7 linked regions of the Coturnix japonica genome follow. The main gene of each other region encodes a partner of the protein of the gene in region 3 in a complex. Links are inferred from orthologs where the notes say so. Each region holds a gene or a part of one and is shown on either strand. Other genes may lie near its edges. The genes, in order: NR5A2, cadherin-1, CTNNB1, LEF1, FBXW11, CTNNA1 and BCL9.

What was found.
Region 1: the proteins of CTNNB1 (region 3) and NR5A2 are in contact, whole or in part, in a crystal structure (PDB 3TX7), measured with the Homo sapiens proteins. The link is inferred for Coturnix japonica from reciprocal best matches to the Homo sapiens genes CTNNB1 and NR5A2. Residues at the interface, in NP_001091679.1 of Homo sapiens: Tyr306, Gly307, Asn308, Gln309, Lys312, Lys345, Val346, Val349, Gln379, Trp383, Arg386, Asn387, Asn415, Thr418, Cys419, Gln559, Glu562, Gly563; in NP_995582.1 of Homo sapiens: Ser300, Ile301, Pro302, Glu475, Gln476, Ala479, Leu482, Asp483, Tyr484, Met486, Cys487, Asn488, Tyr489, Pro490, Gln491, Gln492, Thr493, Leu501, Arg507.
Region 2: the proteins of CTNNB1 (region 3) and cadherin-1 are in contact, whole or in part, in a crystal structure (PDB 1I7W), measured with the Mus musculus proteins. The link is inferred for Coturnix japonica from reciprocal best matches to the Homo sapiens genes CTNNB1 and CDH1. Residues at the interface, in NP_001159374.1 of Mus musculus: Leu148, Ala149, Arg151, Ala152, Glu155, Leu156, Leu159, Asp162, Val167, Lys170, Ala171, Val173, Met174, Gln177, Leu178, Phe253, Ile256, Thr257, His260, Leu264, His265, Asn290, Lys292, Phe293, Ala295, Ile296, Asp299, Gln302, Ala305, Tyr306; in NP_033994.1 of Mus musculus: Asp788, Val789, Ala790, Pro791, Ile813, Asp814, Asn816, Leu817, Ala820, Asp821, Pro824, Ala826, Pro827, Pro828, Tyr829, Asp830, Ser831, Leu832, Leu833, Val834, Phe835, Asp836, Tyr837, Glu838, Gly839, Ser840, Gly841, Ser842, Glu843, Ala844.
Region 4: the proteins of CTNNB1 (region 3) and LEF1 are in contact, whole or in part, in a crystal structure (PDB 3OUX), measured with the Mus musculus proteins. The link is inferred for Coturnix japonica from reciprocal best matches to the Homo sapiens genes CTNNB1 and LEF1. Residues at the interface, in NP_001159374.1 of Mus musculus: Lys180, His219, Ser250, Phe253, Tyr254, Thr257, His260, Asn261, Leu264, Asn290, Lys292, Phe293, Ala295, Ile296, Asp299, Lys335, Trp338, Thr339, Val349, Gln375, Arg376, Gln379, Trp383, Arg386, Asn387, Ser389, Asp390, Thr393, Asp413, Ile414; in NP_034833.2 of Mus musculus: Gly11, Asp12, Pro13, Glu14, Leu15, Cys16, Ala17, Thr18, Asp19, Glu20, Met21, Ile22, Pro23, Phe24, Lys25, Asp26, Gln31, Lys32, Glu33, Lys34, Ile35, Phe36, Ala37, Ile39, Glu45, Asp47, Leu48, Asp50, Ile51, Lys52.
Region 5: the proteins of CTNNB1 (region 3) and FBXW11 are in contact, whole or in part, in a crystal structure (PDB 6WNX), measured with the Homo sapiens proteins. The link is inferred for Coturnix japonica from reciprocal best matches to the Homo sapiens genes CTNNB1 and FBXW11. Residues at the interface, in NP_001091679.1 of Homo sapiens: Leu31, Asp32, Ser33, Gly34, Ile35, His36, Ser37, Gly38, Ala39; in NP_036432.2 of Homo sapiens: Tyr244, Arg258, Ser282, Leu284, Ser298, Leu324, Lys338, Ala364, Ala365, Asn367, Gly381, Arg383, Arg404, Gly405, Ala407, Ser421, Leu445, Arg447, Tyr461, Arg494, Phe496.
Region 6: the proteins of CTNNB1 (region 3) and CTNNA1 are in contact, whole or in part, in a crystal structure (PDB 1DOW), measured with the Mus musculus proteins. The link is inferred for Coturnix japonica from reciprocal best matches to the Homo sapiens genes CTNNB1 and CTNNA1. Residues at the interface, in NP_001159374.1 of Mus musculus: His118, Thr120, Asn121, Val122, Gln123, Arg124, Leu125, Pro128, Ser129, Met131, Leu132, Lys133, Ala135, Val136, Asn138, Leu139, Ile140, Tyr142, Glu147, Leu148; in NP_033948.1 of Mus musculus: Ala58, Leu61, Ala62, Ser64, Val65, Gln67, Ala68, Thr69, Asn71, Phe72, Lys75, Gly76, Lys78, Ile79, Glu82, Met104, Ala108, Phe111, Pro115, Cys116, Arg121, Met124, Ala128, Leu131, Leu132, Val135, Leu138, Leu139, Ala142, Asp143.
Region 7: the proteins of CTNNB1 (region 3) and BCL9 are in contact, whole or in part, in a crystal structure (PDB 3SL9), measured with the Homo sapiens proteins. The link is inferred for Coturnix japonica from reciprocal best matches to the Homo sapiens genes CTNNB1 and BCL9. Residues at the interface, in NP_001091679.1 of Homo sapiens: Leu148, Arg151, Ala152, Glu155, Leu156, Leu159, Asp162, Asp164, Val166, Val167, Lys170, Ala171, Met174, Leu178; in NP_004317.2 of Homo sapiens: Asp349, Leu351, His358, Arg359, Ser362, Leu363, Thr365, Leu366, Ile369, Gln370, Met372, Leu373.

The regions. Positions count from the first base shown.
Region 1 is NC_029523.1:1,487,323-1,490,822, forward strand, and holds part of NR5A2 (nuclear receptor subfamily 5 group A member 2), read right to left. Parts: intron 745-3,500; coding exon 497-744; 3' UTR 1-496. UniProt on the Homo sapiens protein: Orphan nuclear receptor that binds DNA as a monomer to the 5'-TCAAGGCCA-3' sequence and controls expression of target genes: regulates key biological processes, such as early embryonic development, cholesterol and bile acid synthesis pathways, as well as liver and pancreas morphogenesis.
Region 2 is NC_029526.1:16,825,352-16,829,477, reverse strand, and holds the start of cadherin-1, read right to left. Parts: upstream 2,801-4,126; 5' UTR 2,730-2,800; coding exon 2,661-2,729; intron 2,586-2,660; coding exon 2,471-2,585; intron 1-2,470.
Region 3 is NC_029517.1:39,927,525-39,929,675, reverse strand, and holds part of CTNNB1 (catenin beta-1), read right to left. Parts: intron 2,098-2,151; coding exon 1,978-2,097; intron 1,838-1,977; coding exon 1,687-1,837; intron 1,592-1,686; coding exon 1,470-1,591; intron 446-1,469; coding exon 385-445; intron 1-384. UniProt on the Homo sapiens protein: Key downstream component of the canonical Wnt signaling pathway.
Region 4 is NC_029519.1:33,527,571-33,531,595, reverse strand, and holds the start of LEF1 (lymphoid enhancer-binding factor 1), read right to left. Parts: upstream 2,801-4,025; 5' UTR 2,585-2,800; coding exon 2,375-2,584; intron 1,845-2,374; coding exon 1,781-1,844; intron 562-1,780; coding exon 428-561; intron 1-427. UniProt on the Homo sapiens protein: Transcription factor that binds DNA in a sequence-specific manner. Participates in the Wnt signaling pathway. Activates transcription of target genes in the presence of CTNNB1 and EP300.
Region 5 is NC_029528.1:13,899,016-13,902,515, reverse strand, and holds part of FBXW11 (F-box/WD repeat-containing protein 11), read left to right. Parts: intron 1-401; coding exon 402-588; intron 589-1,108; coding exon 1,109-1,199; intron 1,200-3,500.
Region 6 is NC_029528.1:14,039,999-14,044,071, reverse strand, and holds the start of CTNNA1 (catenin alpha-1), read right to left. Parts: upstream 2,801-4,073; 5' UTR 2,666-2,800; intron 1,521-2,665; exon of another isoform or gene 1,500-1,520; intron 1-1,499. UniProt on the Homo sapiens protein: Associates with the cytoplasmic domain of a variety of cadherins. The association of catenins to cadherins produces a complex which is linked to the actin filament network, and which seems to be of primary importance for cadherins cell-adhesion properties.
Region 7 is NC_029516.1:82,883,864-82,887,363, reverse strand, and holds part of BCL9 (B-cell CLL/lymphoma 9 protein), read right to left. Parts: intron 3,463-3,500; coding exon 3,273-3,462; intron 2,810-3,272; coding exon 2,710-2,809; intron 2,261-2,709; coding exon 31-2,260; intron 1-30. UniProt on the Homo sapiens protein: Involved in signal transduction through the Wnt pathway. Promotes beta-catenin's transcriptional activity.

The sequences.
Region 1 (3,500 bases), on a different chromosome or scaffold from region 3:
TGGATGCCACGTTGTTTATCACAGAAGTGTTGGGTCCTTGGAAGAATGATAGAAGATGGTGTAGATGCAGCTTTGCATCTATTATAACTGCTCTAGAAGTCCTGCTGTACAATGAAGGAATTTAGTGCGCTCAATTTCTCCACTCTCTTAGCTCAATAATACAGATCAGTTTTCCCCTAAATTTCTTCGTATTGGCAATCAGAAGTTAAATATACAAGAATCATTCTGTCCTTATTCATGTTGGCATTGGTGATAGTATCCACGTTTTATGTTTACTTCTCTCCAGTTTATAAAGTCCTATAGAGATTCCTTTGGGGATGTGTAGCATATGATTCACAGTTTGCAATACAAATACCCTGATACATCACTTATTTACTATTAGTATTTGATTATTATACCATTTTGCAAAGTCTTAAAACCACATTTTAATTAGTGTTGCTTGGAGCAGTTCAGAGTATATTTTTTCGTTGAAAGCAGAAGCTCTAATGGATATAATTTATGCTCTCTTTGCATGCAGCATCTCAATGAGAAGGTTATTACATGGGACATCTCCGTTCAGGTGTTTGTAGTAGAGGTATTCTTCTGCCTGCATACTGATGGCCCGGATTTCTGGTAGTCGCAGGAGAAGCTGCCCGAATTTGTCTGTTTGCTGTGGGTAATTACACATTGTGTAGTCCAGCAGAGCAGCATTCACTTGTTCCTGAACACCCTCCACAAGCTGGAAGTTCTCTAGGTTTTTGACATCTGAATGGTAATTAAAACAACAACAAAAACAGTAAGAACAATTGAGTTGCATTTTAATTACGGCTTACTAAGGCAACATTTTGCTAAATATTGTGGGTTTTTTGTATTATTATTTTTTTCCTCCTGACAAAAGCATACTCTACAAGCTGCTGAATATTCAGCAAACCCTTTTGCTCTCTTTCCTGGGAAAATGATCACAAAGAGCTTTAGCGGAGTGTCTTGTTGAAATTCTGCATATACCTCAAATCAATTAGACACCAATGGAGTCTGAGCAAGGTCAGCTCTTTTCATATCTTACAAAAAGAAAGGTTGAGGATTCCTAAAGTAGAAGACCGTGATATATTGCTAGCAAATGAGTCCCAAGAGGAAGCCCTATCTTTAACCTAGTATGTTACACAATTCATATAATTCTGTATTAATTTTTCTGACCCAAGGTGAAATCTGTGTCCAGGGTATGATGTAGTTAATTCTAATAAAAAGTGACAGGGTTCTTGTTTCTGTTTGACATTTTCTAAACGATTCTGAAAGCCTTTGACTTGTCTAGTCTATGTTAATGAACCATCTGGTACACTCCAGTGACTGCCAAAATAATCTTCCCTACTAGAAACTCTCTAAAATATATATTTCATTGACTAATGATCTTTATAAATTGAAATCATTGTCCTTTGGGGGGAATACCAGATAAAAATGGTGCCCTTTAGCCTGACTATGCTTTCTGAAATCCAACGTGCTAATTTTATTTGGTATTGGATAACATGGGTGCTTACATCAGTTAGCAGGCAAGATTTGTTCACTCTTCCTCTCTTTGATTATCTTCTTTCTGTTTCTACACAGGAAGTTTCAGCTATGAAAATGGCAGTCAGGGATAAATCACAGAATCATAGTCACAGAATTGTAGGGACTGGAAGGGACCTGTAGATATCATCAAGTCCAACCCCCCTGCCAAAGCAGTCTCCTAAGACCTGGTCGCACAGGTAGGCATCCAGGCAGGTCTTGAATATCTCCAGTGAAGGAGACTCCACAACCTCCCTGGGCAGCCTGTTCCAGTGCTCCATCACCCTTATCACAAAGATGTTCTTACACACATTTGAGCAGAACTTCCTATGCTCCAGTTTGTGGCTGTTTCCCCTTGTCCTATCGCTGTGCACCACTGGAAAGAGTCTGCCAATATACTGACTCCGTACTGTTTGAGTCCCTTTGTTAAATGTGTTTTGATGCTGTCTTTTGACATGTCTGAAGATTGCAGAAATTATTCCCACATTTGCAAATCAGACTTCTGATATAATGCAGAAAGTGGGAAGCAATCAAACTACTCTTGCTGGGAGAACTTACTTTGGTTGATGTTCAGTCATCTGTACCATAGTAGAGTACTGTAATACAGTTTCTTGTAATGCTAGAGCACAGCAGTAGAAGCATATGTACTCGGCTAACTCACTTCGAATTAAGACAAATGTGTCCCTATATGGATATTCTTTGAGCAAGGGAGAGGGGGAATTTGGCAGAATTTGGTTCATTGTAAATCCCAGCTTTGAATGGAGGGGAAATGAGTGTTTTCCTTTGTAAAATAGGAACACACTTTGGTTTCCCAATGCATTACACTGGAAAGCTGTGTAAGTTGGATCTAACTGCACCTTTTCCTAGAAGAGCTTTAAATAGAACTTATGGTTCCTGCTCATAACTGTGCTAGATTAAGAGGAAAATGGTTGAAGGAGGCAAACATTTTTCCTCAGGATCAGAGAACAGGAGGGAAGTCATGGTTCCCAATGGCAGAGCTGGGTAGCATGTACAGACTTGGAGCAGGAGGCTCTCTGCAGCATACTGTACTTGCTGCCGGCTACCCCTTTGCTTCACTCTTTCATGGGCTTTCTGCAGGGTGGATGGTTCCTTTCATCATTACTGTCTGCCTCTTTCCTGTCCCAGTTTTGTTCTGGAAATGACACAAGTGGCTCCCTGAATCAGATGCTGCTCACTTGGGAGCCAGGACATGACCTCTGCTTGAATTTTGCTATCTGGCGTTAAAGAATTCCCGAGCAGTACCAAGGTGATGATGACTGTCCGAGTGGAATCATCTGAAATTTCAGTATCCAGAGTGAGGGGAACTGGAAATTTCAGAGCTGCTGTGCATGGCTCCTGAGCTATTCACACTTATTTATCTGAAGTCTTTTTGCCAGTGTCTCTGGTAAATCGTGTTTTCATATATTACTCTGGATGTTTTCTAAGAACTGTTTATGTTTTCACGTAGGTACTTAAAACTCCTAAGGTATTTTGCAGGGAGTGTGAGTTGATTTAAAAGTTGAGTGTTGTAATTATGATTAGTAGATTACTTTCAGAGGCAAATTGCAATCATGAATGAATTGGCAGAACATAAGTTCCCCCAGAAAATATGGCCTATGTTGGGAGTTAAACTGCATTAAACAGGAAGATAAATTGTATAATGATTTCAGAATTAGCATGTCAAACCTTTTCCTTGCTAAAAATAACTTCAAAATAACTTTAAGCACTTTGGTATGGCAATAAAAGCATTAGTCAGATTTAAAGATAAGTACAGTTAATATGAACATTAAACAAAAAGTAGTTTTGGGGCTTGTATGCCACATCCAGCCTGAGGAAATGCTTTTAATGTATTCCTGGCATTTGTGATGAGAATCGGATGTTTGTAAACAAGGTTGTTTTAGTTCATCAGTCTGAATGCAAGGAATTTTCCTTACTCTTTCTATACTGAATCGGAGTATTCATGGTCTAAGTGACTACAGTGT
Region 2 (4,126 bases), on a different chromosome or scaffold from region 3:
GGGACCTGTCCCAGCGTCCCGTGTTACATCAGCCTGCAGGCAGCCCAGGAATTCAGAGACAACATCGAGGGGGAGGTAATGGCAGAGCTGGGCCGGGGGCTGCTCGCCCACCGCCGTGCCGCGCTCCCTGCGGGGCGATGCCAACCCAGGCGGGCCAGCCGGTGATACCGGCTGTGCAGGGCTGTGCTGGGGCACGCCGGGCGCTCCCGCACCGTGTGCTCGCAGTGGGGAGGTGCCCCATCCCTGCGGGTACCCGGCTCCTGGCACTTGGCCGGCGGAGCGCACCGTGCACAGCACCCGGCCCCGCACCGCTGCTAAGCTCCCCCTCTCCCCCTCTCCCCATCTCCCCCTCTGCGCCCGGCCGTGCACAACCTGTTTTTCCAGCTCCACACTTGAAAGCCAGCCCCTCCCAGCTCCATTCTCCCCGGGGCACTGAGCCAATGGGGCCTCGGCAAGGCGTGGGGCAGGGGTCGAGCTCAGGGGCTCCTGCACTGCGGGAGGCAACTGAGTGCCACTGATTTCCTGGACCTTCAAATGCGTTTGGCCGTGGGGCCCAAACCAGCGAATTACCGGCTCAAAGCTGGGGTGGGGAGGTGAGCCCTCCACACTGGGCTGGGACCTGGGGACACCAAGCTACCCCCATTCTGCTGCGACACAGGAAAGTGTCTCACTGGGGCTGGGCACAGGGTGAGTCACAGGCGCAGCCAAGTGCCACCATCCCAATGTTCTTCCCCATCCCCACGCAGGTTGTGCAAGTGCGGCTGTGCCGGGGCGGAAGCTGGTGGCGGGGAGAGGCACACGTCAGCCATGAGCAGCCAGGGTGAAAGTGCTGCAAGAGCGCAGTGAGCCACACGTCCTGCCAGGGCCTGACATCACCGAGTTTCACCGTGACTTCAGACTCTCGGTTTTCTCCCATTTGGGGCTGATCCGGGACCTACGCAACTGGGAAGCGTCACACCTGGCTGCACACCCGTGTTCCTCCCATAAGGTGCCATACCCACACAGCCGAGGGCTCCCTCAGAGCTCCTGCCTGGGATCCACCATCCCATCCCCTCCCTTAGGACCCTTTGCTCAGTAAGTGAGGCTGAGCTGAGCCCCAGGGATGCGGGGCAGGTGCTGTCTGTCCTTCCCTTGGGGTGTGGGGCAGCAGCAGCCCCAGCACCCAGCAGAAAGCATCGTGCCGTGCAGCTTTTACAGCCCGCATTAACATGGAGGAAATTGCTCCTTCCTCCACCAAGCCCTTTCATCAGGCAGGCAGCTGCAGCGCCGTTGGGGAGCCCAGAGCTGCACCCACCAGCCCCTGGAGCTCCCACTGATGTTCACCACCCGAGCGCTGTGCGGGGCCAATCCAGACCTGTCTGACTGCAAACACAGCGCTCGGCTCATCGGGTAATTACAGGGAAGCTCATCACGCTGCTCGTGCTGAGCCACAGATGGGGCTTTTGAAAGGCTGCACGGCACGGAGGGCACGGCAGGATGCTCTGTGGTCAGGCTTTGTGGCAGCAGCGCTGGCACGCGCGGGCAGACCCAGACAGGACGCCCAACTCCCACACACCCCCCCTGTCCCCAGCCCCAGACGGGAAGTGCTGGTGCTCGGCAGCGGGGATTTCCAGCTGGGAGCCATCGCTGTGTGCTGGGTTAGTGCTGCCTGGCACACAGCTGCCCGTCACCCTGATGTCAGTCACTGCCCCAATGGGCACAGCCTGCTGGCGCTGCACAGCCCGGGTAAATGATTAACAGAAAGTTCACAAACATGGAATGCGTTGGTACAGTGCAGGGTTCAGCTCCCAGCCCCGATACTCCCCAGCGTGGGCGAAACTCAGACTGGAACTCCTGAGCCACCCTTCCTAAGAACCACCACCCGCACCCACGCACGGCTCTGCACCAGGACGGGCGCTCGGCACTTGGATGTGGGCTTGGTGCTGTTGTGAGCTGGGTGCTGATGTGTGCTGGGTGCTGGGATGTGGGCTCAGCACAGGCTCAGGGCCGGGCTCCATGCCCCACACCCAGCCTGCCGGCCCCAACAAGCTCTGCCTGAGTCAGCGCCGCCCGCCTCGGTGCTGCTGGGAGAGGCGCCCACTGCCCCTGTTTGCCCCGGCACCTGCACCACCGGGCTGCTCGTGGAGCTGGGACACGTAGGCACGGCTCCGTGTGCCCATGGCCACCAGCACTGAACTGGACATAGTGCAGCCGGCCCTGACAGCACGCAGGGCACACGGGCACTTAGCCATGGCTTTGTTCCCCATGGCCACCCTCGGTGCCACGCACCCAGCCCCCCATCCAACCATATTTCTATGCCACTTTGCCACGCACTGAACCCGTCCCAACAGGAACACCTTCGTCCTTGGTACCAGCCACCTTCGGTACCACGCTGAGCCTGTTCCCGTGTCTCTCATCACCTCTGGTGGCGCACACCCAACCCACCCCCACGACCACAGCTCTGTCCCCCCAGCCACCCCCGTGCTCCTACCTCGTCCCAGCTCCCTGCCCGCCGCCACGCTGTCCCGGGGCACGCTGAAGGTGAAGGTGTCTGCAGCAAAGCCGGGCTGGCAGGGGGCTGCCTCGTCGCACCGCCGGCCGCACACCTGCCCGAGAGAGGTGTCAGCCCCGACCCCTTCCGTCCCGTTCCGTCCCCTCCGTCCCGCCCGGCAGCCCCGCACCTGGAGCAGCAGCAGCAGCACCAACACGGGGAAGCGCTGCGGGCCGGGGGAACCCCACCGCCGGCCCATGGCTCAGGGACCGGGCCGGTACCGCCGCGGACGGAGCTGCCGAGCGCTGCCTCCGCCAAGCGCAGGTGGGAGCGCCCCGCCCGCAGGTGTTGGCCCCGCCGGGCCCCTCCCCGCCCCGCTCCGCCTCACCGGGGCCGCCCCGTCCCGCCCGCCCCGTCCCACGGCGCCGTCCACGGGCGCGAGGCCCACGGGGGGACGAGGGGGCGGCGGGGTCGGTCCCTTCTGCGAACTGCGGCGCTGCGCTGGGGCCGGGGTGAGCAGCGACACTCAGTGCTACCGCCGCCCCCGCGGCTGCAGCGGGGCAGAGTCTGCACACAGACACTGGGGCTGCTCGTACCGAGCTGGGACAGAAGCCGAGCCCTGGCCGTGGCACGGCAGCAGCAGCGCTCCATTTCCCCCTTAGGCGCCGTGCTCAGCCGGCGTGGTTAACGCAGTTAAGTTGTTTAATGCACTTATTGCTGAGCGCCAAGCGGGCAGAGCCCTGGGGATGGGCAGCGCTGCTCCCTGCACTCCCCATCGCTGCACACAGGGGATGGGGCTGAGCCAGCCCCGGGTGAGGGGGGTCTGCTCTGAGCCCTTGGGGTGCACAGAATCACAGCGAGACAGAGAAGGGTCTTAAAAAAGGAAAAAGGAAAACCACATCCTTTATTAAAACTTCCCTAAAACTTCTACAGCCCCAGCTCAGCCCGCTGGTACCATCCTGGTACCACAACAGTACCACCCTGATACCACCCCGGTACCACAACGGTACCACCCTGATACCACCCCACTACATCAAATTCATAGTTGCTTAAAAAAAAAAAGTTGAAACACACAGGAGGAAGCCAAGGCTGCTTCAAACAGCACAGGGAGTGCAGGAGAGGGCAGCGCGGCCCCAAGGCACGGGCAGGGTAAGGCTTTGGGCAGCAGCAGCGCTGGTTGGGGGCTAGTCATCGTCTCCCCACCGCCATAGGAGCTCCGCCAGCTTCTTGAAGCGGTTGCCCCACTCGTTGAGGTAGTCGTAGTCCTGGTCCTGGTCGGAGGCGGAGGAGATTGAGGGAGCTAGCGAGGTGGCTCCGACCTCCGCCTCGTAGTCGAACACCAGCAGCGGAGTCGTAGGGGGGGGCCGTGGGTCCGTGTCAGCCGCCTTCAGGTTCTGTAGGAGGGCAGAGGAAGGGCTCACCCGCTGCTCCCCCCGCGCTCAGCCCTATGGGATGGGGACGCTGTGGGCAGCCCAGCAGTGCGGCGGCAGAACGGTCGGGCTCACCTCATCGATGAAGTTTCCGATCTCATCGGGGTTGGCCGGCCGGGGCGGTACTGGGGGGCGGCCATCAGCGGTGGGGGCCACGTCATTGCGGATCACCTCAGGGCGGGCGTCCAGGCCGCGGTGCAGCTGGCATCAGGTTCGTGAGTCCTGC
Region 3 (2,151 bases):
TAGCAATAGACTTAAGTCTACTGGCACTTAAAGACTAATATATATACCATACCAACATTTGTTTTAAAGAAAAACTGCACTTCTGGAATTGTCAAGTCCATCTGTAAAGGATTTAAAAGATTTCTGGAAACAGCAGCTCAGTGGGAGATTCTCTTGCAAGACTCAGACAAGCGACACCAATTTTGCACATTCATATGGCTCCCATTTCAGTGCAGCCAGAGGTGTTGCAGAAACTGCTTATTTGAACTGGCAGTTCCCCATCTGCCTGTCAGTTTGCAATATCTTGCTGAGGAGTAATTTACTCTTCAGCCATTTGCAGTTCTCCTTTACAGTCAATGACTTGACTTATATTAAGCTTAGTCAAGGGGAATGGAACAGACATACCATCTGGGCGGTATCCAAGAGGTTCTCCCTGGGCACCAATGTCAAGTCCAAGATCCGCTGTCTAGATGTGCACAAAAAGATACAGAACAGTTTTCACATCAGGTCTTAGGGCCAACATTAATAATTGAATTTAAGAAATTCTAAAGCTTGCCATAAATCCTTTTTCTTTTTAACCAACTCTTCTGCACTGTATTTCAAAAAGATACACCATTTTTGCTATGTTTTCTCATGTTAACATGTTAGATGGATACAGACTTCAGGAAATCAGAGGTGAACACTGAAATACTACAAACCAAAGGCTACTACATATTATTAAGGTAAGACTGTTAAGTAAGTATATGGGGAAAGACAGATTTAGTGAAACATTCCCCAATGGCAGTTTTCAGTCTCAATTCACTGTGCTGGCCTTTAAGCATGAAAAAATTTCATGTAATAGCTTGCAAATACTTCCAAGTCTGAGAGCTCAATTCTCAATTAATGAGAACATAAAAGTGGCATACCCACACCAAGCTTCTTAGTCCTACAGAGTTTGCTAAATAAGAGTCCTTAGAGGAGTGTTATGGTTATGCTTGTATCCTATCATCAGTTCATCAGGTTTGGACAACCTGCAAGAACTGGTTGAAATTCCTAAAGATTACTGCTGAGCTGTCCTTTCAAATGAGAAGCAGCACAGAGACCTACAGAGTTCTTACACACAGAGCAAAATGAGACTTAAACTTTAGACTCTTTGTATCTGAAAAGAAAGCACTAAAGCAGCAGCTCTAAGGCTACTCGCTCATTATTCTACTTGAGCAAGTCTGTAGTTCTAGAGAGGTTTCTTGCCCTATGTAATGAATTCCCAAAACTGTCAGTTTCACCTGTTTAGATATAAACTTCTGCCCTAGGACAAGAGTATACATTTGAAGCTTGCACCATTTTCTACAAACCTACAAGCTGAACATGAACATGTAAAGAGTAAGGAAGCTACAGACATGTGTAAAACTGAATCCATATCACTGATGGCATCTACACTTCACTACTGGAAGGAAGAGGGACTTGAAAGTAAAGTCTCCCCAAGTTACCATTCACACAAGGACACAACTCACCTCGTTCCAAGCCATTGGCTCAGTCCGGAACAGAGAGCTTGTCAGTTCAACTGAAAGTCGCTTCTTGTAGTCTTGTGGTTTGTCCTCAGACATTCTGAACAGCACTGCAGCTGCATATGTTGCTATTAAAAAAGTAAAGTGAATTTAGTCAACATCAATTCTTTTGATGTTTGATACTTTTCCAGTAAGTATGAAACTTAATTTTAAGTTCACTTACCAACACCCTCATTCCTAGAATGGAGTAGTTCTGTTAAAGGGGCAGTTGCACCTTCAGCTTCAATTGCTTCAGCTGCTTCCTTGTCTTGAGCAAGTTCACAAAGTACACCCGCAGCTACTCTCTGGATATTCTCAATGGGGGAGTACAACAACTGCAATCATAACAAGGGTTTCTTTTAACTCTTCTGCTTGAAAAGAACTTTAGTACAATGCAAATTAACAGTTCTACCAACAAGGCATTGGGGAAGTTATACTAGTATGTACTACAGCATTTTCTTGAGCTCCAGCTTACCTGCACAAATAGTGGAATGGTATTTAGACCCCTGATAACAATTCGATTGTGAACATCACGTGCAAGAATATGCAGAGCTCCAGTGCAGCCCTCTACGATTTCCTCCATGCGCACACCCTCCTACAGTCAGGGAAAGAAAAGGCACTTCAGCTGAAATATTGAACATTATCTCCT
Region 4 (4,025 bases), on a different chromosome or scaffold from region 3:
GAGCATTTCTCTTCGATGCACAAAGCCTTTTTGCATGGAGCAACCAATGGTGGGAATCAATGTCAATCAGCAGCCGGCGATACCGTATCTGGTGGCAAAAAGCGGAGCGAGCCTTTTCATCTCGCTGACAGGCAGCTCGAGCAGCCCCGCTGCAGCCCTCGAGACTCCTCAACAAACAAAGAGTTAACGCCAGAAAATTCACATCTGTCCTCACGACTACAAAGACAGCATTTACATCGCCCCACCGCACATTATCCCGCAGTGTAAAGCAGGGCTCTCCCCAGCCCCGCTCCGAGCGCACTGCGGTTCGTCACGGGGTTCAGCACGGGGACCGCAACCAACACTGTCAGAGCCCAAATGCACAGAGCAGCCACACGCTGCGGGACTCACAGAGGAACCCCAAAAAGTCTTCAGGGAAAGAACTCACTGTTCTGGGGATGGGTGGCGACAGAGATCCGTTAGGCATGTACGGGTCGTTGTTCATATTTGGCATCATGATATACCCCGAGTAACCAGAGTACGATGGTCCCTTGCTGTACAAGCCACCGTCAGGATGCTTTCCTAGGGAAGAGGAGACAATGACGGTGTTATTCCCCATGCATGCACCTCACTTAAACAGGTACTGTATGATCACGGAAACATTCAGCCTGAGAACATTCCCTTGCTTATGGCAATTATTTCTGGCAGAAAACAGTCCCAGCAATTTGTAACCACATTTTTTTTTAAGAAGAAGAGTTAATTCTTAAAGAAGTCGGTGCACTTTGCGAGGGGCCAACGTGACACACCCTCAAAGCAACTCATTTATTTGGCCAGTCCCTGCCAGAGTAGGCAGAAACACCAGCATTGACATCGTGTAGCTCAAGCAGCGGTTTTCCCCCACGTCGCACGTCCCTCCAGGATGCTGGACTGGGAAGCACTGCCAGCATGGCTTCCCCACATCACTGCTAGGAGGGGAGGGAGAAGACAGCAAGAACAAGGGGCAATCACTCTCTCCTCTCCTAACTGGGAGCAGAGGGCAGGGCTGGCACGGGGCAGACCCACGGCCTTGGGGAGGGGGAGCCCATGTGGGGAGGTGATATTGTAAGGAAACAGCTTGGCTCTGGGTCCTGCAAAGGGACGGGTTTGGGCAGCGAGACTGCCTGCAGGTGAGCTTTTCAGAGGGTGCAAGGGGAAAAAGAGCTGCACAGAGCTGATCTTCCCTCACGGCCACAAGCACAGACACTGCAGCTGTTAGGGTGTGCAGAGCCCAGTTCTGTGAGGAACCAGAGGGTCCCGGCAGGCGCTGGGGCTGAGCTGCGTCCCACTCCTGTGGAGGTGATGACCTGCTTCAGCCTGTGATCACAACCACTGCACGTTAAGCACAGCCTTTGTCCTTCACAGCACTCATTCTTTGTACACGTGCCTGACCCCCTAAGCAATATTCCACAAACTTTGTTATTTCCTTGGCCAGAACAAACCGCCGGTGCATTACAGAGGGCAGGAAGGCTGCTCAGATGGAGGCTTAGGGGCTGCCATGTGCTTGGGGGAAATCACACTGCTCCCCAACACAGCCGGCAGTGCTGCGTTAAATCAACATCCTAAAAACAGTGATTTCTTCAGCGAGGATCCATGTGGCCTCCTTATCAGTCTTACTTTCGACAACCATTTGGTCACCAGAGATAAACACGCGGTGCATCCACCTCCACCCCCAACGCTTTCCCGTCCCCAGCAGACACTGTATTATTGAGACACGAACTGCAGCCCGAAGGTGGGAGCAGCAAGCGGGACACGCGGTTCTCACCTTCCTCCGGGTGCTCCCTGCCCTTGTCATGGTAGGAATCCTGCGCTGGAGTCTGCCGGGAAACCTGGACCGCGGGGAATCCGGCACCGGAGAGGAGGAAGGAAAAGAGGAGAAGTCACTGTGCGGTGGTTCGCTGTGCCCGTCCGCCTCAAAAGACGGGACAGTGACGGCGCGGGGCAGCACAGCTGGTTCCTCCGGGCACAGCGCAGCCCGAGGGGCAGCGTGCGGGAACGCGCCGAGCTCCGGCGGCCGAAACGCCCAATGGGTACCAAAATGCGAAAGGCAAATCAGGTTGCCCTCGTTACTGCATTTCTTGGGGAGGGGGAAGAAAAAAATTAAAAATAAAAAAACAAAAAACAGAAAAAAGGCAGGAACACCGACAAGCGGCTCGGCCCAAAGTTGTTTTAGCGTCGGGAATTTCTTCCCGACAGTTCAGTGCGAACCCCTCCGAGAGCCCACGGCCCGTGGGGGTGCGGGGCAGCGCTGGGACCGCCGGCCGCCCCGCGGGACCCGCGCCGAGCCCTGCCGGGCCGAGGGGGCCTTCGCCAGGGCTCGGCCGCCCTTCCCCTCTCTCCGCTGCCCCCGGCCCCTCACCTCGTGCCCGCCGGCGCCGGGCGCGATCTCGGACTCGTTGACCAGAGAAGACTTGATGTCGGCCAGGTCTCCCTCCTCCTCGGGGTGGCTGATCTCGGCGAAGATCTTCTCTTTCTGGGGGTCCCCTTCGTCCTTGAAGGGGATCATCTCGTCGGTGGCGCAGAGCTCCGGGTCCCCCCCGCCGCCCCCGGCCCCCGGCAGCTGCGGCATCCTCGCGGCAGCGCGGCGTCTGCTGCGGCCGCCGGCCCGCCGCGGGAAGGGAGCGGGAGGAGCGGCGGGGGAGGAGGCGAGGGAGGAGGCGAGAGAGGAGGAGGAGGAGAGAAGAAGGGGGAAAAAAAAAAAGAAAAGAAATGAATTAAAAAACCCCACCAAGTCCTCGCCAAGTTGCTGCCTCCGCGCTCGGCGCCCGCCGCGGGGGGAACGGCGTAGGGAGGCCGCGGGGCTGCGCGGGGCGAACCGAACCCCGCCCGCCCCAGCCGTCGGGGCGGGGCGGGGGCGGTGGAGATGAAAGGAGCCGCCGCCGTGAGTGACACCGGGGGGGGGGGACGGCAAAGGGGCAGGGGGGGGTGGCGGGGAAGGGCCCGGCTCCGGGAAAGTTTGCAGAGGCGGCCGCCGTGTGGGTACGTTTGTGCGGGGCCGGGAACGCTGCGGGGCTGGGAGCGCTACAGGAGCGGTGCCCCTCTCCGCCCCGTTGGGAGCGAACACGCGTTCGAAAGATTTTGTCGATAACCAAAAAATTAAAGGAAAAAAAAAATATCTAAACAAAAGCATCCGACGCGCTCACTCGGGAAACATCGGAGCGATGCGGCTCGTTGCGTTCGGTGCGGGGCATCCTGCGGACCACCGCTCCCCACCATCCCGGCCCCGTGGCCGGGGCGCCCCGTGCCCTGCCCGTGCCTTGTCCGTGCCCTGCCCGACCCAGCGCGGCGTGGGGCCGAGCGCTCCGTTGGCCGCGGGGCCTCCGCACCGCTTCCCCCCGACGGCTCCGTAAGGAATGAGACCGAGGACGGGAGCAGGTAGTGGGGCACGGCGAGAGGGATTCGGACGAGGAGAGGGGAAAGTAGGAACAGAAAGACGGAGACGGGGACGGAGGGGCACCGCACGGCGCTCCGCGGGCGCTGCGTTGGGTCAGCACTGCGAGACCTCCCCGGTCCTTATACACATCTGCGGGCTTTGGGCATCCTGTTTTTTATACACACAGAATTGCTTTACAGCAGAACGTCGTGGGGTTTTCGTTGTTTTGGGTTTTGTTGTTTTTTTTTTTTTCCCTTTTCCCTTTTTTCACGCCTTTTTAGCTTGGTTTGGCAGTTTCGGCAATTGGGATGTTTTATTATTATGGTTTTTTTTAATCATTATTTTACGATCATTTAATTTTTCAGCCCCGACGGCCGGCCCCGCTCTACCCCAGCCCCGTCGCCGAGAAAGGAACGGAGGCAACAGAACACAACCCCCCATCCCCACTCACAGCCCCCCCGGTTGCGTGCGGAGCGGCGCCCCCTATATAGGGGAGGGCGGGAGCGGGGCGGGGCGGCGGCTCTTTGATGTCCCGCCGGCGGCCCCTTTCATCCCCCCCCCGCCAGCCCCCCCGGGCCCTTTGTGAGCCTAAATTTGGCAGGAGCATGGAGGCGCGCCAGGGCGCCCACGTGTGCGC
Region 5 (3,500 bases), on a different chromosome or scaffold from region 3:
GCAGGAATCAATATTACAACCTTGTATTACAGATCTTGAGGAATACCTGCTTCTTGGGCCGTGTAGCCCCATGGATTATGTGCTTAAAACATCCAACATTCTGTGCTGAGAGGCAGCAAGGTGCTTCTGCTGCTGATGCACAGCGGTGAAGCTTAGTTTGCTCTCATTCTTTCTGTGAAAATGGAACAGCCTAGTAGTAGGAAAGGACTAAGGAGAGAGGTATTTTGGTGTATCTGGTGGGATTTATTTGTGACTGATACTTCTCTGTATGATATGATTAATCACATTTGCTCTGGTGCCTTAAATATAAAGCTGTGTTAGCTTTCTCTCTGTACTGTAAAACATGTTTAGTAGTTTACTGCGAAGTGATTGACGTGTTGATTGCCTTTATTTCTTTGTAGAGCAAGGCTTAGATCACATAGCAGAAAACATCCTTTCCTATCTTGATGCCAGATCACTCTGTGCAGCAGAGCTGGTATGCAAGGAGTGGCAGAGAGTCATCTCTGAGGGAATGCTATGGAAAAAATTGATTGAAAGAATGGTACGCACAGATCCGCTGTGGAAGGGACTGTCAGAAAGAAGGGGTTGGTAAGTACCCAGACAATAATTCATCTCTTACTGTGTTTCCCTTGATAAATGAAACTAATTGTGAGCATTACCAAAGAGCAATTGATAGTATCACTGCAGCTCTTATCCCTCCTGTGGACTGCTGGGGCAGCAGCAGCAAAGAAGCTTTTCATCCTTCACAAGGATATTGAAGGTATCAGGTGTTCTGCTTTAGAAATGTGTTTGTCTATGCTCTCTAGTGGTGTGCCTAAGAAAATGCAAGGCATGCTGTAAGGAGCTGTGCAAGAGGAGGACACCCTGCTGGTCAAAGCCTTGTGAAGCAGAGGACCCTCAATCAGAAAGCCATAAGGAAAACACCTGTTTCTTTTCAAATATAGCTGTCAAATTGTAAAGTCACAAGGGTTATAATTTCAATACTACAAATTATGACAAGTATTCTGTAAGAATGTATTGTAAGTTCTTGTTCTTTGCAGATTTTGAATTCCTTTGCGGTTTGGTTTCTTCATGATAAACTGAAAAATATGTTTCTGGTTCTTTCTAGGGATCAGTACCTGTTTAAAAACAGGCCAACAGATGGCCCCCCAAATTCGTTTTACAGGTCCTTATACCCAAAGATAATACAGGACATAGAGGTATGTTTTCTGACATGTCATATCTGCAGTAGAATTTATATTTATTTCAGCCACGTGATGGGTATAAAGTTTTGGTCTGAAGTTCATTAGTGGGGAAATGTGTTCTGATGTTTAAGGCAGATGTGATCTAATAGAATCATTCCGCTATGGCAAATGTGAGTCTGTGTTGCTTGGCACTCTGTAAAATCATTCAGAGCTCTTAGTCTACCTGTAAAACGTAACTGCTGCAGAATATAATCCAATTTTTAAATATTTTTAGCCCCTGTTACACAATTAATGAACATCTAAAGGTGCAGAACTAAGGGTTAAATGTCACACAGGTGAAGAGAGATCAAATTTGATGCTTGCTACCTGAACAATGCACATCTTAGTATTTGAAAGGAGTTGTATGTGTAAGGAAGGGCAGTGACAATATAGTGATGGTAAGTGATGGTGGTGTTGTACCATGTCAGTGCTTCAGGCTTTTGAAACACTGCTGTTTTTAGGTTTCCAACCTGGAGTGGGGTTGGTGTTTTTGCTAATAGCCCAGGGTCCCCTATAATTCATCTGAATCCAAGGGTATATTAGATTTTTCTTATAAATCACCCTTTTAAAACTTTTTTTCCCAAATTGCTTCTCTAAAGAACTGTCAAAGGAAGCTTTTAACTTTGTTTAGAAAGGTGGGTGGTGGGCAACAGTGGCAACAAGAGCTAACTGTAAGGCTTGGAATGCTTCCTAACTTTCTTCTGCTTGGTTTTGATTTTGCATCTGTTCGGGCCTTTTAAGCCTAAAGTTACACTTGCCCTTACTTTCATACTTCTCCAGTTTCTTCACTTTTCAAAGCAATATGCGGAATAAGACTTTCATTTTAGCAGAGTTGAAGAGGTTTCTATCTCTGAATATCAAGATGTTTTTTCTTTAAATGTTTGTCTGGGCCTTTAATGAGATCTTCATTTTCTGTCAGAGCTTAGGCAGCTCATGATGAGCCAGTGATGCAGACGCTCCATTTGTCCTCCTACCAAGGCTACTGTATTAGCACTGCAGTGTGATCAACTTAGTATCTATATTATCTTGCATCCAAGGGGCCCAATTTCTTTATTTTTAATACAGTAAAAGCTATTTGATGTGACAGAAAATCTAATCAGTCAGTATTGTACCTGTAGAGAGCAAAGATGGAACGTGTTTTGCTATGCTGTTACTGATGTGAGGAGGTACCAGTTTACAGAAGCTGATGCTGCACTGGCTTTGTGAGTGGAGATGAGCTCTACAAGTAATGTCCTCCATTCTTCTGGTTGACTGAGAGAACTGAAAACTAATCCAAGGCTTGAATTAATGATTGGAAGGGAATCTGAGGAACGATATGTAGCGAATGTGAATTGTTTTCTTCAGACTCTATTTGCATTCTAGGTCAAAAGTCCACGCAGCCATGAAGTGTCATTAACTGCAAGGTAGGACAGGCTGTGATTCAGCAGATGAGGCTCCCTTGCCTCTCTGAAGGTTTATTAGTGCCAGTGTCTGTTTATTTCATGCCAAACACATTTTAGGAACATAATGTCACTTCTGAAGTCATCGGATTCGAAAAGAAGAGGACATTTAGAGATCTGAAACCAAATTCTTGGAAAGAGGTCTCTCCCTCCACCGTGAAGCCAAATATTTAATAAGGTTTCATTTCACAAGAAGTGGTCCAGCAGTGCTAAATGTCTCCAAGTTCTATGTTGGATTGCCAAGCCCCTGTAGGATATATATATATTTAGGGGAAAACCCATTTGTGGGCATATCTTAGCAAATGGAATTTGGTTTTGTGAGACTTGTTTACAGAATTTTTTTTGCTGCAAGGTGTCCTGTGACTGGGTGCAGTCCTGAAGCACTGCATGAAGGTCAGCTGTTTGGAGTGGGTTGTGTTAATGGGCAGCGTGACAAGATGGGAAGCTTAATACTGCTGATTGCAGAACCCCAAGTCCCTGGATTTTTTCCATATTATTTGTGAAGCCTGGCCAACTATTTGGTTTTCCCTGCAGTTCTAGCACAAGTATCCATGTGATGAGTTGAGAAGACTGTTTCAGAAATGTCATGTTCTCGAAGTTAAGGGGAACAAGTTCTCATCTTGGTTCTGTGGAAACGTAGGTCAACCTTATTCAGATGAGAATTAAAATGTGATTTTTGCTCTGCATTTTCAGACTTGAGCCACTCGAAAGGCACATCTTAATGTGAAACTGGCCTGCAAACAGGCAGATTGTAACTGGCACAGGCCTTGACTCATAGCTGAGAAGGGCAGAAAACTGCTTTTGGGTCTCCATGCTACAGGGCAGGTCCTCAGCTGGG
Region 6 (4,073 bases), on a different chromosome or scaffold from region 3:
ACTGCATTCCTCCTGTAACTCAATGAGGCACATCACTGCATCGCGCTCTGCCAGCCACTGCTGCCTTATGGCCCCACAGGTCGCTGCCAGTTGGGTTCCTCCAACAAAGGTGCTGCTGCAGTTTTTCTTTCCAGCCTCACACGTTGGATTAAAGCCATATGAAAATACAAGTAGTAACTGTCAAACATCTGCACTTCCTGGAAAGCTGTAACTCAGTTTGACCAATGCATGAGCTACATACAGTGCTACTCCTGATTAGCTATAAAGCCAAGGTAGGGTGGATTCCCAGAAGTAATAAAGAACCCAAATCCTCAAGGTTATACACACCGATGTTCTACAATGTAAGACTTCGAGTGATTTCCAGTTAAGGCACTTCAGCAGGGAACAACAACGGGCATTCAGCTTTGTGTTACATGACCTCATCTCAATATGGTATTGTGCTAACATAATATTCAGTCCTCTTTTATTCACCACGTTTCCTCTGATGTCCAAAGCCAAGAGGTGCCAGTAAAACCAACCCAGATGCAATACACCGAGTCCTTTCAGGGAGGACCATGGCCTTGTACTTCCTCACTCAATACCAACCTTACTAAGCATCCATGATGAGTCGACTGGCCATGCCATTAAATACTTCCATGAACTTAACAAACTCTCTTCATAAGAAAATAACCTTAGAAATTAAGAACTAACAGTAGATGCAACTTCAATGAAGGTCTGACATTCTACTGAAGTCTATTTCCAGCTCATAAACACTTCTACTTATGTGGATTCTTTTGCAAGATCAGTTTCTCCATCTCACAGCTGCGGGAGGAAGATATTCATGCTGCTGAAAACACACAAATTGTTTTTCTATTACATCTCTCAGTTAACTTTATCAGACCCACGGACACCCTGTGAAGCAGCTGTATATTGGTATTTGCCATTACACATGTCAGACACTGGAAATGCTGATGTTACACGAAGCTGGAGAATTTATGGAGACATAAATACTCGCTACAATATTTTAAGTCACCGTTTTGGGTGCGGGATTTCTAATCTCCACCCGCTGTGCTTCCCCCCGCCACCCTGGGTAAACTTTTAATCTCCACTGCTCTATTATTAGAGCTGGCTGGAAAAAGCTAAAGGCTGAAAGCTTGTTGTTTATTATGGAAAAGGTTAGGGCAAAGCCTTCAAAAAAAAAAACAACCAAGAACTAAATCATTGACTTTTCAGAAGAGGAACTAAGATATTTCCATTGAAAACTGTTTCTCTGAATAAAAAAATCAGTTAATGACTCAACATGAAATGATGCCCTTTCCAAAGAAAATATTTCACTACAGGAAGGAAAAACAAGTGTTAGCAAACACACAGCACCCAAAGATGGTCCAAACCGTACCCAAAGACCACGAGTTCTGTGAAGCAAACTGGCTTTCACACCATTGAAACACAAAATGACCACCCCACAGCCCAGCCCAAGGGCTGACAGGCCCCACTGAGCTGGGCAGTGTGTGAAGCCTCACCAGAGCCGGGCTGGGGATGTGCACTGGGATCCATGCAACCAGCAGAGCCTCCCCACCTCCTCCTCTTCCCTGCTCACCACGCAGGAATAACACAGGAAGCAACTCCAGCATCAGGAACAACTCTGGTTATTCAGCCCCTGTCCCAGGAAAATAAAAGGGGGGACGGGAGGGAGGGGGAAGATTGAAAAGGAAGTGGGGGGTGAGGGGAAAGAGCAATTGAATCCAGTCACCTCAGCCATGCCATGGGTGGTCACGTTGGGTGCTGGAACGAGGACACGGGCACTCCTAATGCAAACAGGGAGTGTGAGTTATTGCAGGGCATGGGGGTTATCGACTGGCAGCTCAGTCAGACACAGACATCGCCCTCTGGGTGAGGACGGGCAGACAGAAGCAGGGAATAAAGGGGGAACAAGAGAGGGGTCTGGAAGCTCTACGGGGTGTGGGGGGGTAACATGGGGGCAGACCGCAGCCAGCTCCCAGCAAGAGACACACACACCTCGCTGTGCCCACACCGGGATGCTTCACACGCGTTATGCTGAGCTCAGTGTGTGAAAGCAGAGCGCCTGGTGACCCCGGGAGGGCTGGTGTGAGCCAGCAGCTGGGGTCTGACACTCTCACCCCACGCTTTAAATAGGAGCGATGGGACACAAGTCGTGGCCGGCCAAGGACGAGCGGGGGCAGCGCCCAACGCCGCTCCCAGCTGGGGCGGACGGAGAGAACCGCGCTTAGAGCCAGGCCGCTCCCGAAGCGTCGGAACAGCCCAGGGCAGAACCGAGGAGCCGAACCGAGGAGCCGAACCGAGGAGCCATGCGGGCAGCCCGAGCCCTCGGGGAAAAGTCTCAGCGAACTCCGCGCCGCCACCGAAACTTGCCCGGACTTTGCCGGGCCCCGCCCGCCCTGATCCGGGATCACCCGAAACGGGGCACACCGACACACACAGCGCGGCCCCACAGCCCCACGACCCCACAGCCCCACGGCCGAGCCCCGCTCCCGGAACCCGGCCCAGGCCGCGCTGCCCCCGCCCCACTCGGAGCCCCACAGGCCCCGCTCCCCGCCCGCGGCCTCAGCTCCGACCGCCCCGCGGGGCCCAATGCAGCCGAGCCCGGCCCGTCCCGCCGCCAAAAGTTTCCAAGGCGCCGTTAAAGCGGCGCTAGTGCGATAGTTACCGGAGCAGGGACGAGGAGCCGCGCTGCGCCGCCGGACCCGCACCGACCCCCGGCCGCTTTGTCTGGGCCGCACCCGCTCCGTCCCGAGCAGGAAATGGGCTCTTCCGGGCGCCTCCCGCCGCCGCTCCCGCCCCGCCCGGCCGCTGTTCCCGTCACCGCCCGCCGCGCCGCCCCGCGGGCAGGTGAGGGCCCGCCATGGGGGTCAGCCCGACATGGGGGTCCCACCGCCTCCACTCGGCCCTGCACCCCTTCAGGCCCGGCTGCAGCACCCTCACATCGCCCCACACACCTCGTGCTTGGGGCAGAACCAACAATTCCAGTCACAAGCAAAAATTGTCCAGTTACCGGCCAGAGTGAGATCACAGCATGTCTGCGCTTGGGAAAGACTTTAGGGACCCCCCAGCCCACCCCCCACCAGCACTATTGCAGCCCCCAAGGGCCACATCCACACTCTCAGTGCCTGTGGGACGGGGCCTCATCGCCAGCTCCAGTGTTTTACCATCCTTTGTATGAAGAAATTATGATTATTATTGGTGTAGGGAGCCTGCTTTGGCAGGGGGGTTGGACTGGATGATCTCTAGAGATTCCAACCCCTACAATTCTGTGATTCTGTGATTATACCCAAATTAAACATCCCCTCGTGCAATGTGCTGCGTTCACCCTGCGTTTTGTCACTTGCCACAACACTGAGTGCTCCTACAGGCAGCTGTACAGAGCCAGAGGGTCACCCCAGAGCCTGCTGTGCTCCAGGCTGGACAGACAGTCTGTAAGTGCTGTTAGAAGAGCCTTGCAGGCCCCAAAGTCACAGTGTGAAGCTGCTGTCATGTCCCATGTTGGTGCTGTGGCTCCTGACTGGGACGTTACGGAGTTTAGTTGGTCTTTTGGTGTCTCATCTCAACACACAGAAGTCTGAAGCAGCATCCTTGTGCTGCTTGGTGCGGTCAGTGGCAGCTCCTGCTCTTAGGGAGCTTTTAGGAGCTGAGTGTTAGTCAATGAATGTAGATTTGTGGATGGGGAGAGATGTCTCCAAGGAGTAATGTATTTCAGAGGCTTTGAAGACAGCCAGTGACCACGTTTTCCCTGCATCAAATCACTGGTATTTTTCATAGTTTGTTTTGACATGACTTTTAATTCAAATATCTCTACAGAACTTACGCTCGTACTGGATTGTAAAAACAAATGAATAACTGTAATACATTTCATGACTCATTTGCCAGCATTTCCGAGTTACCTGAACCTATTTGCTCTGTCCTTTGATACCAATCAAAACACAGAGCTGGGCAGCCCTCAGGGAGCAGAGCATACATTGGAGCAAGGCAATTCAGCCCATGTAGATTCCTGGGGTGCCAGCCCCCAGCCCATGTCATGCAGAGCACACTGTGCTTCACACCATGGCTCTCGACACTGA
Region 7 (3,500 bases), on a different chromosome or scaffold from region 3:
CCAGGATGGACTGGAAAAGGCAGCACTCACCCGACTCCACGTTCCCCAGCATGGCCGGAGAAGACATGGTGAGAGACGCCTTGTGATTCGGGGGGATGCCAGGGCTCTGCAAAGGAGGCTTTGGAGACGAAGTCCATCCCGGTGAAGGTGCGGGGAGGGATGGTGACTTGAGGTGGACAGGAGAAGCAGCAGCAGACCCCAAGACCGGAGGGGACTTGATGGAAGCAGCAGCAGCTGCAGCAGTGGGACCTGCGAGCATTCCTGCCAGCTGGGAGGGAGTCTGAGGAGACTTGAGGTTCCCCGAGGGAGACCCCATCATGGGAGACTGGACCTGGCGCATGGTGGGAGACTTCAGAGGGTTGATTCCTGGAGAATGCACCTGACCGGCTGCAGAGATATCCAGGGGCTTGCGGCCCAGGCTGCGCTGCGCGGGGGGAGCAGTGTTGAGGCTATTAGGGTTACTGGTGGGATTGAGAGGTAGTGGCGGCATGTGGCTGAGCCGGTTGTTAGTCCTTTGGTCGGGCCCCATCTGTTCTCTGAGGTTTCGGAGACCAACTCCCGGGCCCTGAGACATGGGAAGGAAAGGCCTGGGACCCATGCCATACTCCTGTTGCGGGTGCTCCCCAAACGGCAGCGGCACCATCTTCTGCTGAGAGGAGAGCATCTCCGAGACACCCGGTCGCAGTTTCATCATCTCTTCCGGCCCGACTCCCGCCTCCCTCAACTTCTGAGGTACCAGGGGTGGGTTGGAGCCCATGCTGACATTCATACCCATGTCCCCCTTCATGCCACCAGGGCCCATCCCAAACTCCAGCTCCCTGCCAGAGCCCATTTGGGGGGGCATTCCTTTTGGGAACTCCCCCCTGGAGGGACTCATTGGCCCTTCCACAGGCATGCGAGGGAAGATGGGGTTATTCCCAGGCTCCATGTGTCTCTGGGAGGCGATCATTCTGTTGATCTCCATGCCAGGCCTGATGCCTTCCATGTTGAGGCCAGGAGGCAGGCCCATCTGCTTCTCAGCCAGCTGCTGCTGATAGATCTCTTCCGGCAGGCCCTGCGGGTTGGGGAACCGCTCCCCTCGGCCAGGGCCACTAAAGACACCTTGGCCGGGAGGGAAGTTTCGGCCATCTGGGATTTTTGGCACATCGTCTGGCCAATTGACTCCTGAAAGCCCCGGCCGAGAGGCAGGATTTGGGACATTGGGGCCCTCCATATCAGGGTTCATCATTCCTGCAAAACCAGGCAGGCGCATCTGACTCCCAGGCATGTTGGGATGAGGGGCCATGCCCCTGGGGGGCAAAGAGTGTGACATGTTCATGCCTTCAGGGAAGGGCTCTGGACCCCCAGGTCCCCAGCCTTCCCCAGGGGTCATCTGGTAGGGAGGAGGGGGGCCTCGGACAACCCCACGAGGCCCGTGCTGATGGACCATCATGTCCTGCAGGGAACACTGCTGCACAACAACCTGCTCTTGCTTTCTTCTCTTCTCCTCGTAGAACTCCTGCTGCAGCTTAAGCCAGGCCACCTGCTCAGGAGTCATGTGGTCCAGGTGGTCTGGACCTATAGGTCCCGACTGGGAGTTCATTGGTGGTGGCCCCATTTCATCTGGGGAAAAGGGCATGTCCCTGTGTCCTTGAGGGCCAAATGGAGCCCCTCCATCTGTCCGAGACCCTGACCCTTTGCCTAAACTTTGGGATTGAGCCATCATGGCCTGTATTGGCCCTTCAGGTTTCTTTTGGGGACCATCCATCACCCCAGAATTTGGAGGTGGCCCTCCACTTTGCCCTCCAGCAAACTCCTTCTCATCAGGGAAGAGCATGCGCTGTATGTCTCTCAGGGTCTGCAATGAGCGCTCTCGATGTTCCAGCTGCTCCTGCGACAGTCCATCTGGATTCTCACCCAAACTGGACGGGTCCCCACCAGACACCTGCTGGGGAGGACCTTTGGGGTCTGCAGCAGAGCTATTGCTACCTTGGGAAACAGGGCTAACTGCTCGATTATTGGGGGTTGAACTCTGCCCAAATCCTTCTGTCTGCAGCGGGGTCGAGTTGGCAGGGCTGCCCACAGACATCACTTTGCTTTCTACGCTGGGACTGTCCTGGTCTATGGGACACGGGGGACCGGTGGATTTGGATACTGGTGCTGACACAGGCGGAGTCGGCTGCATTTTGGCGTTCTGAGGAGGGTTCTGGTCCTGGGCAGCAGGGGGCTGTGGCTGCGGCAGGGGTTTGGGTTCAGTCCGAAGTGCATTGATCTGGGGGTTCTGAAAGAGAAAGCCACATGCCATCACTCTCTTCTTACAGCTGTGCCATGTAAGCAGAGGTGCCAATGTAATGTCCTAACCCCACCAACACACACTCTGCAAGGAAGGGTAGTCTCTTTGTAAACAACATTTACAGAGCAGCATCTTGGCCATAAATAACAAAGCAACAAAAAAACCCCACACACTTTTGCTCAAGCATCACAGCAGGTACCCCTTCCTTCTGCATTAGCTCTGCGTCATCAGTGGGTTGGAAATATACTACCCAAATATTGCAAGACACACTCTTCTTTGGATAATTCAAGACATTTATTTGCAGAAGGCTAGAACAACCACCATCTCTCTGTTTTCCATCCTAAGACTTATTTCAGAGCATAAACAATCACCCAACTCTCCGAATCACAAGCAAACTGAACATTCCCCTTCCCACCCACTTGCAGGCAGCTCCCTACCAAGGGTACAGTGTTTCGTTCCACCTTGCTGTTTGAGATGTTCTGGATATGAAAGGACACAATGGTTTCCACCTGTCCCTTCAGCACGGCTTCTGCAGCCCTGCAAAGACAGACAGACAAACGCACATATCCAGTTGAAGCTAAGAATCAGATTTTCCTAACCAGCATTCTTCACCTTTCAGCTGGCAGAAGGGTAAAAGACAACCACACATAATTGATAGCACATAGGCAGCAAAAAGAAAATACTTACATCTACGGACACAACAACACTTAAAGAGTCACGTCTTGGTTTAAGTCACCCCGGCTCACACTTGCTGTGTGGATTACAAACCAATATAATATTGGCATCTGCCAAAAATGCACCCCCATAGGAATATATCATCGCTTCTCAGAGAGCAAAAGGCCTCTTTCCCCATTCCAGCCCTTCCAGCACCACCAAAACACTCAGCATTGCCTTTTTGCTACAAAAACGTACTTGACCGAGAAAGGGCACCTGAAAGTTTCATGAAAAGGGAATAAAAATGTAAGCCCCTCTCCCTGAAGACATTCAAGCATCTACCTACTTGTTGGCCATCTCAGTAGAAAAAACGTAAACCACTTTGGATGGAGTCTTCTGCCCACTTGCTGGCTCCAGAGCAGCAGTCAGGCCATGGGAAGGTGTGGAAGACCTTGGGGCTGAAGCATTTGAAGGTGTCATGGAGTGCGGTGTGTGCTGAGAATCCTGGGACTTCACATGATCAGCAGAATTGCAGTCTGGAAGGAGGAAAGAGGAAGAGAGAAGAAATCACATC